2 linked regions of the Schizosaccharomyces pombe genome follow. Changing the gene in region 1 together with any one later gene gives a genetic interaction. Each region holds a gene or a part of one and is shown in the gene's direction. Other genes may lie near its edges. The genes, in order: byr3 and ras1.

Region 1 (3,728 bases):
TGAAAAAAACTAAGTTTTGGAATGAAAATTGATCGTCATATCACCTTGATAGAACAGATTTTTCATCTTTCTTGAACTTGTTCTCAAAAAGTTGGAATATTTCTATTTTACCTTAATTACATAGTTTAAACTATTTTCGTTCGGAAAATGATTTTACAGATTTTTTTTTTTAATCTAACTGGTAGAAGAATTTCTGTGTTTTATGTCTCGATTATTAATTTACTGCGTTTAATTATAAAATGAAGCGATGAACTAGTCATTCCCAAGGGCGAAAAGCGGTCAAATGTACTTGTTTTCAAAAAAAAAATTGACGGTTTCTTAGTATGACAATAGTGATAATTTGATATCGATTGAAGTGGTTTTCTGTTAAATGATACTATACATCTGTGAATGGGTTGGAAATTAAAATGTTAATCTAATTTTTGTTAATAGTTTATTCACGTAGGTTAGTGAAATGACGGTTCAAAGGTTGCATAAGTATTGGAAATCGATGAAGTATGTCAAGCAAAAACATTTTGTAAAATGAATAAATTTCAAAAAAAAAATATTTTTTTTTAGAATAATTTGGAATAATCATGCATTTCTGTATATGTTAAACTTTTAATATAAATCTGTGCTTGAGTATGAAATGAATTATCTAAAAAACAGTGTTTGAATAAACGTGTCCCAATAATAATGATAAATTGTAAAAAATATGTAGGAATTATACAAAATTTATTAAGCCACAAATAGGAATAGTAATTAACGTACAAAATTTGATTTGAATTTAATAATTTAAATGCGACTAAGTTACTTGCTTTTCTATTTACCAAAACGAATTCCAAAGAGAAAAAAATAAGCAATTAATAGTTTGGCAAAACACTTACTGCATGAATTAAATTAATAATCCGACATGCATTAATAAATTCTTGGTTGCTAAATTCAAATAAAGAAGTAATCAGCAGTTCTTTGCTCCTTAGTCGAATGATTACTTTTTTTCTATTCCATTCACCTTCTATTTCGTATTTGTTATATTCATAAAGTCTAGGAAAAATATAAAAAGATTTCCAAGATCCTAATTATCTATTTAAAATTATTATGTTGATATATCGTCGCGTAATATAATTAAATCTTTTTTTATCGAAACCTCAACAAGCTTTGGTGGTTTAGTGGTATAATGAATCGTTGCCATCGATTCGACCCGGGTTCGATTCCCGGCCAAAGCATTATTTTTTACCAAAACAATTTTTGGATTTATTTTGATTTGTTTGAATTCAAGCACGTGGTACTCTGGATACCTAAAATATGTACAACTATAGATTCCAGTAATATATATATTGCAAATGACTGAACTCAATTCTTCAGGCGCTATACTGTGAATGCAATGTTTCTACGATTTTTTGCCATGAAAAATAACGATGCTTATTTACCACGATTCAAAGTAACTAAGCGTTTGGTTATATTCGCTTGGAATACCAATCTACATTACAATGAGGAGGCAATAATTGCTATGATATAAAGCTATTGTCAGAACCAAAAAGTCCTGAGTTTATGGGAAAGAGTGAGCTTACTAGTTATGTAAGATATTACACTCTCTATCACAAAAAAAAGCAAGTATGCGGTAACAATTCTTCGATTCCATGACTCTTTTTAATTGGCAAGTTGTTGTGCTTCTTCCGTCGGTCTAAAACAACTAAATTCTTATTTATTGACATCTTTAAGACCAAAATAGTCGCTTGTCAAATTCGTTACTTCCAAGTGCCACCATGTGCTTGTTACTTAAGAAAAATTTAGACAGTCACACGCTCCTATTTATTAAGGAAGTGTAGTCAGGTTAGCGAGAAAAAGTACATTTTTTCTGTTTTTTTTTATTTTTCTTAATTTTCTTTAATAATTTTTTTTAATTGTAAAGGAGTTGTTAAGATGGAGTCTGAATCTGTTCCCACCGTTCCTCAAACCACTCGTCCCGGTCCTCGATGCTATAACTGTGGTGAAAACGGTCATCAAGCTCGTGAGTGCACCAAGGGTTCAATCTGCTACAATTGCAATCAGACCGGTCACAAGGCTAGCGAATGCACTGAGCCTCAACAGGAAAAAACTTGCTATGCTTGTGGTACCGCCGGACATCTCGTTCGTGATTGCCCCAGCAGCCCTAACCCCCGTCAAGGTGCGGAATGTTACAAGTGTGGTCGTGTTGGTCACATTGCTAGAGACTGTCGTACAAATGGTCAACAAAGTGGCGGACGATTTGGTGGTCATCGCTCCAACATGAATTGCTATGCTTGTGGCTCTTATGGCCATCAAGCCCGTGATTGCACTATGGGCGTGAAATGCTACTCTTGTGGTAAGATTGGACACCGCAGCTTTGAATGTCAACAAGCTTCAGATGGTCAACTTTGTTACAAGTGTAATCAACCAGGCCACATCGCCGTCAATTGCACCTCTCCTGTAATTGAGGCATAAGTGCTTGCTATTTATAACCCTTTGTCGTGGTATGAAGATATTTTTTCTTTTTCTTGTCCGATTTATTCAAATTTGGCAAGTGGTCATATTCTTACAAATCCCTTGAGCGATCTGCGCATTTAGTTATATAGAAAGCATAATTTTACATCCTTCTCTTCGTCCTTATTTTTTCGCACACTTCTGAATTCATTTTTGCTTCGGATCCTTAAGGATATTTGTACTGAAGCCTGAGATGCACCACCTCATTTCTCTCCTGTTTTCTCGTCACCGCTAAAAGATGGATGTTGATAGATTAAATCCTTTTTGTTTCAGTTTATTTTTACTGTTGTAGTGGCATTTTTTTCCTATTATTTTCAATTCACGAGCTTGAAATAAAAAAATTTGGAATATGGGAATTCTATAAATGATAGAAATTCCTTGGTCCATTTGGATGATTTGTTTTTTTTAGTGCCATTATTTAATGGAACTTTTGGTTTTATATGACAACTCACTATCAATTTCATTTACGAAATGGGTTTTGGCGTTTTCGTATTTTTTGAGTAACTTAATTTACCTTATGTGTTTGTACAGTAAATGTTAATGCTCTGACTTATTAACAACTTCTCTACTTCTTAATCTCTCATGGTATCTGTATAACAATATTTACAAAAGGGTTCTGGGTCATTTGCCTAATTAATATTATTTTTTCCTTGCATTGCTTACTCTGCTTTTCAAAAATGAACTGTAATTGAAAACGGGTGAACGATAAATGTAACAGTTGTCATAGACAAAAAAAAATTTATTAACTTCAATTTTACTTTCATACAAATTTGACATCGAATTTGTCTATTACATAAAATCGTAGTATATTAATCCAAAATTTTATTGTTCACATAACTCAGCCAACTGCGCTCGAAACAAACGAAATAAACTTCTTGCAAATTCACCTTGAGAATGGTAAATACTCTTGAACGCTTTCTCTTCATCCCTAGCCAATTGAACATGCTCCGATAACCAAGAGGGGAATTTTTGACCAGGCCTGCTTATATATCCCACCCCTAAACGATCTTTCATAACATCAAATTTGTATCTACTTACAGGTTCATAAAAGTCAATGATTGCTTCTAAGCATTGATCACATATATTGGTAGCAACAGAAGGCCGGTAAAATGAGGTAATGCAATCTTTAAACTTAGTTAACTTCGGTATTCTATTGCAAAGCACACAACGGCCTACAAGATTGCATGCTAGCTCTATATATGTAGACTCATCGCATGACTGTGTTCCATCTCCTGTTTGGATGATCG
Region 2 (3,949 bases), 230 kb from region 1:
AACACTTTGATTCAAAGGAAAAAAATGCTATATTTGCTTTAGGCGAAAAACCACAGCTCATGTATTATGAGTCAGATAAATTGGTAATTACACCACTTTCTTGTACGGAAATGTTGAATATATCTTCTTATGTGAACCCTTCCTTAGGAGTAAATATGCTTTATTGCACTAATAGTTATATATCTCTTGCTAAAATGAGTGAAATTCGAAGCTTAAATGTTCAAACTGTTTCTGTCAAAGGGTTTCCGCGGAGAATTTGTTCAAATTCGTTGTTTTACTTTGTCTTATGTATGCAACTAGAAGAGTCGATTGGTACACAGGAGCAACGTTTATTGTCTTTCTTGAGAGTTTACGAAAAAAACACTTTAAGTGAGATTGCTCATCATAAGTTTAATGAATATGAAATGGTTGAAAGTATCATTTTAATGAATGATGATAAACGTGTGGTTGTGGGCACAGGTTTCAACTTTCCAGATCAAGATGCCCCAGATTCAGGCCGTTTAATGGTCTTTGAGATGACTTCCGATAATAATATCGAAATGCAAGCTGAACATAAGGTCCAGGGATCTGTGAACACTTTAGTTCTGTATAAACATTTGATAGTCGCCGGCATTAATGCCAGTGTCTGTATTTTCGAATATGAACACGGTACTATGCACGTAAGGAATTCTATTAGGACACCTACTTATACGATCGACATTTCCGTTAATCAGGACGAAATCATCGCAGCAGATTTAATGAAGTCTATTACCGTTCTACAATTTATTGATGATCAACTAATAGAAGTTGCCAGAGACTATCATCCATTGTGGGCAACATCCGTTGAAATTTTGTCAGAAAGAAAGTACTTTGTAACTGAAGCAGATGGCAACGCAGTGATTCTTTTGAGAGACAATGTCTCTCCTCAATTGTCCGATAGAAAAAAGTTACGTTGGTACAAAAAGTTCTATCTTGGTGAATTGATAAATAAAACTAGGCACTGCACATTTATAGAACCACAGGATAAATCCCTTGTCACACCACAGTTGTTATGCGCAACAGTTGACGGCAGCCTCATGATTGTGGGTGATGCCGGAATGTCTAATACTCCTTTGTTACTACAGCTGCAGGATAACATTAGAAAAGTTATACCTTCGTTTGGAGGCTTGAGTCATAAGGAATGGAAAGAGTATCGAGGTGAAAATGAGACCAGTCCATCTGATTTAATTGATGGCTCTTTGATTGAGAGCATCCTTGGTTTACGTGAACCTATATTGAATGAAATTGTAAATGGTGGTCATGAGGGTACAAAGCTTGATATTTCTGTTCAAGATCTAAAAAGTATTATTGAAAATCTTGAGAAACTACATCCTTAACGTTTTCTATCAATTCTGTTTTTGCCGCTAGAATGTAATTTTAAGACTATATGCAATTATCAATGTCTCATTGTATATTTATAGCAAACGAAAATGTTTTTGAATGAAAATCTCCACTATCGTATCTCTTTCCACGGTCGATAAAACGCATGAAAGGAGTTTAACATATACAAAATAATATATGGTGCCGACCTCTTCATGCATGTATTGCGAACACTTGAGCAAAATTTTTAGAAGCTTTTTAATTTTAATAAAGAAATATTTAATGTTCAGTATAGAAAGTTCAAAAGCAATACTTAAATTTGCTGCTAATTTGGTTAAGTTGGGCTGAATAGGGAATTCTTCAAACAATACTTCGTATGCTTTTAAAGGTAGACAAAGCACTAATGCAATATATCTGTCAAATACAAATGGCAGAATTTTTGGTATTTTAATAGAAGATCAAATGTTTATTGATGGATTTAACATAATTAGCTGTTAACATTAATATTTCGTTTTTATTGCACCAGATACCTTTAAAAAATTATAACTTCTGAATTTCTTTATTACTAGCTTGTCGGTTTGCCATCAGTAATTGTTGACTGCATTACTTGAAAACTGCCAAACACATTTTAACGAGCTTAAGACCAACCAATATTTTTTAATTACCAAGCCTACACACTTTTTGTATTTTGTTTTAAAAGCAACCTAAAGAAATATACGATTAAACTTAGTGTGCTTTATAAAATAGTGAATATGAGGGTAAGTCTAAGCAATGACTTGGGGTTATCTTTTATTGATTACAACAAACTAATCAACGATAATATTTATAGTCTACCTACTTAAGAGAGTACAAATTGGTAGTTGTAGGAGATGGTGGTGTTGGTAAAAGTGCTTTGACAATTCAATTAATTCAATCGCATTTTGTTGACGAATACGATCCTACAATCGAAGATTCATATCGGAAAAAGTGTGAAATTGATGGTGAAGGTGCGCTTTTAGATGTATTGGACACGGCCGGTCAAGAGGAATATTCCGCTATGCGTGAACAATATATGAGAACCGGAGAGGGTTTTTTATTAGTTTATAATATTACCTCTCGGTCCTCTTTTGACGAAATTTCTACATTTTATCAACAAATCCTTAGAGTTAAGGATAAGGATACATTTCCAGTCGTTTTAGTGGCTAATAAATGCGACCTTGAAGCTGAACGTGTAGTTTCAAGAGCTGAAGGCGAACAACTTGCAAAAAGCATGCATTGTTTATATGTTGAAACTTCGGCGAAGCTAAGGTTAAATGTAGAAGAAGCTTTTTATAGTTTGGTTCGCACGATCCGTCGCTATAACAAATCAGAAGAAAAAGGTTTTCAGAATAAGCAGGCCGTCCAGACTGCCCAAGTTCCAGCTTCAACTGCTAAAAGAGCTAGCGCTGTAAATAACAGTAAAACCGAAGATGAGGTTTCAACTAAATGTTGTGTTATATGTTAGCAAGTATTATTGCAGAATATTTGAGCTGTTTGGTGAATGCACCGTTCCTGTCTTTTGTTTCATCTCTTTCTTTTCATTTCAATAATTGTTTTTTCATTTAACACAATTATTAGCAGCTATCTTTAAGTACTTCATTTTCCCTTTGAACCATTTGCACATCTAGTTTTGGCTGCTAGTATGATAGCAAATTATTCAATTCAGAGTTGTGGACTTAGAAAAAACGTGTTATTTGACTTTGGGTTGCTATTTCTTGTTCCGTTTTAATAAAATACATCTCTTTCATTGCATGGTCACGATGTAACAATCTGCAACTAATGAATATATCATACACCTATAATCCCGTAGATCTTTTTTTATAAATTTTTAAAAAAGGGATAATTTTTTTCATAGAAAACTATGTCTGCAGTCTCAATCTATCCCTAAAAGCGCTTTGCTGTGATTGTAAACAAAAAAGCTAGTGCTTACCATTGGGATAACCTTAATGTAACCTATGGTAAGTCCAACGAAAAAACCTCTCATACCGGCTTCTTTGTAAGTAGTTTGTACTACCTGCTTAAGTCTAAGAAATGATTTATTTTTTCTGATACCACCAATTTGCATTTTTCGTCGACAAACTTCGAATGGGTAAGAAACCGTTTGACCACAAACTCCTGCAAATGCTCCACAAAGTAGTTCGGGCCAAGTTTTAAGTTTTTTATCTGACTTTTTTGTAGAAACCCATTCGTCAATTTTTTGTTTATGAAAAAAATCAGTTGCAAGATCGTAGGCAAGAAACGACATACCAGCATATGGAAAGATTCCAGTTAACGTAACAGAAAATCCACGATAAAAATTACAGATTTTTGACAAACGGGATAACCCAGGATACTTCTTATTGCACAAAAAATCACGTTCGTGAAATATATCTTTTGTAACTTGAGTTAGGGTAGGATTCTTCCCTGTATTGGTTATGTAGGCTAAACGAACACGAATCAGCTCTAACGGGTATGTAAAAAAAACAGAGCAAGTTCCGGCAAGTGATCCTGATAAAAATCGCCGAGCATGTGTTTCATGTTCAGGGTCACGAATTAAAACACGCCGTACTTGTTCGTATGCAACAAATTTAATGCCCGCATAAGGGAAGACTCT

What was found.
Region 2: of byr3 (region 1) and ras1, a mutation in one rescues a mutant of the other (synthetic rescue), as found in Schizosaccharomyces pombe (2 studies listed by BioGRID, with this or other methods).

The regions. Positions count from the first base shown.
Region 1 is NC_003424.3:2,246,657-2,250,384, reverse strand, and holds byr3 (translational activator, zf-CCHC type zinc finger protein), read left to right. Parts: upstream 1-1,821; 5' UTR 1,822-1,902; coding exon 1,903-2,442; 3' UTR 2,443-3,156; downstream 3,157-3,728. Other genes in the region: tRNA (uridine) methyltransferase trm9, read left to right, coding at 1-13; F-box protein Pof14, read right to left, coding at 3,304-3,728. UniProt on the Schizosaccharomyces pombe protein: Acts in the sexual differentiation pathway. Is required for efficient conjugation. Double-stranded DNA-binding protein.
Region 2 is NC_003424.3:2,018,630-2,022,578, reverse strand, and holds ras1 (GTPase Ras1), read left to right. Parts: upstream 1-1,947; 5' UTR 1,948-2,090; coding exon 2,091-2,096; exon of another isoform or gene 2,097-2,167; coding exon 2,168-2,821; 3' UTR 2,822-3,117; downstream 3,118-3,949. Other genes in the region: protein Ddb1, read left to right, coding at 1-1,355; leu5 (coenzyme A transporter), read right to left, coding at 3,230-3,949. UniProt on the Schizosaccharomyces pombe protein: Participates in the process of sexual differentiation and the determination of cell shape. Essential for mating and for recognition of the mating pheromone, but not for vegetative growth. Does not regulate the intracellular cAMP level.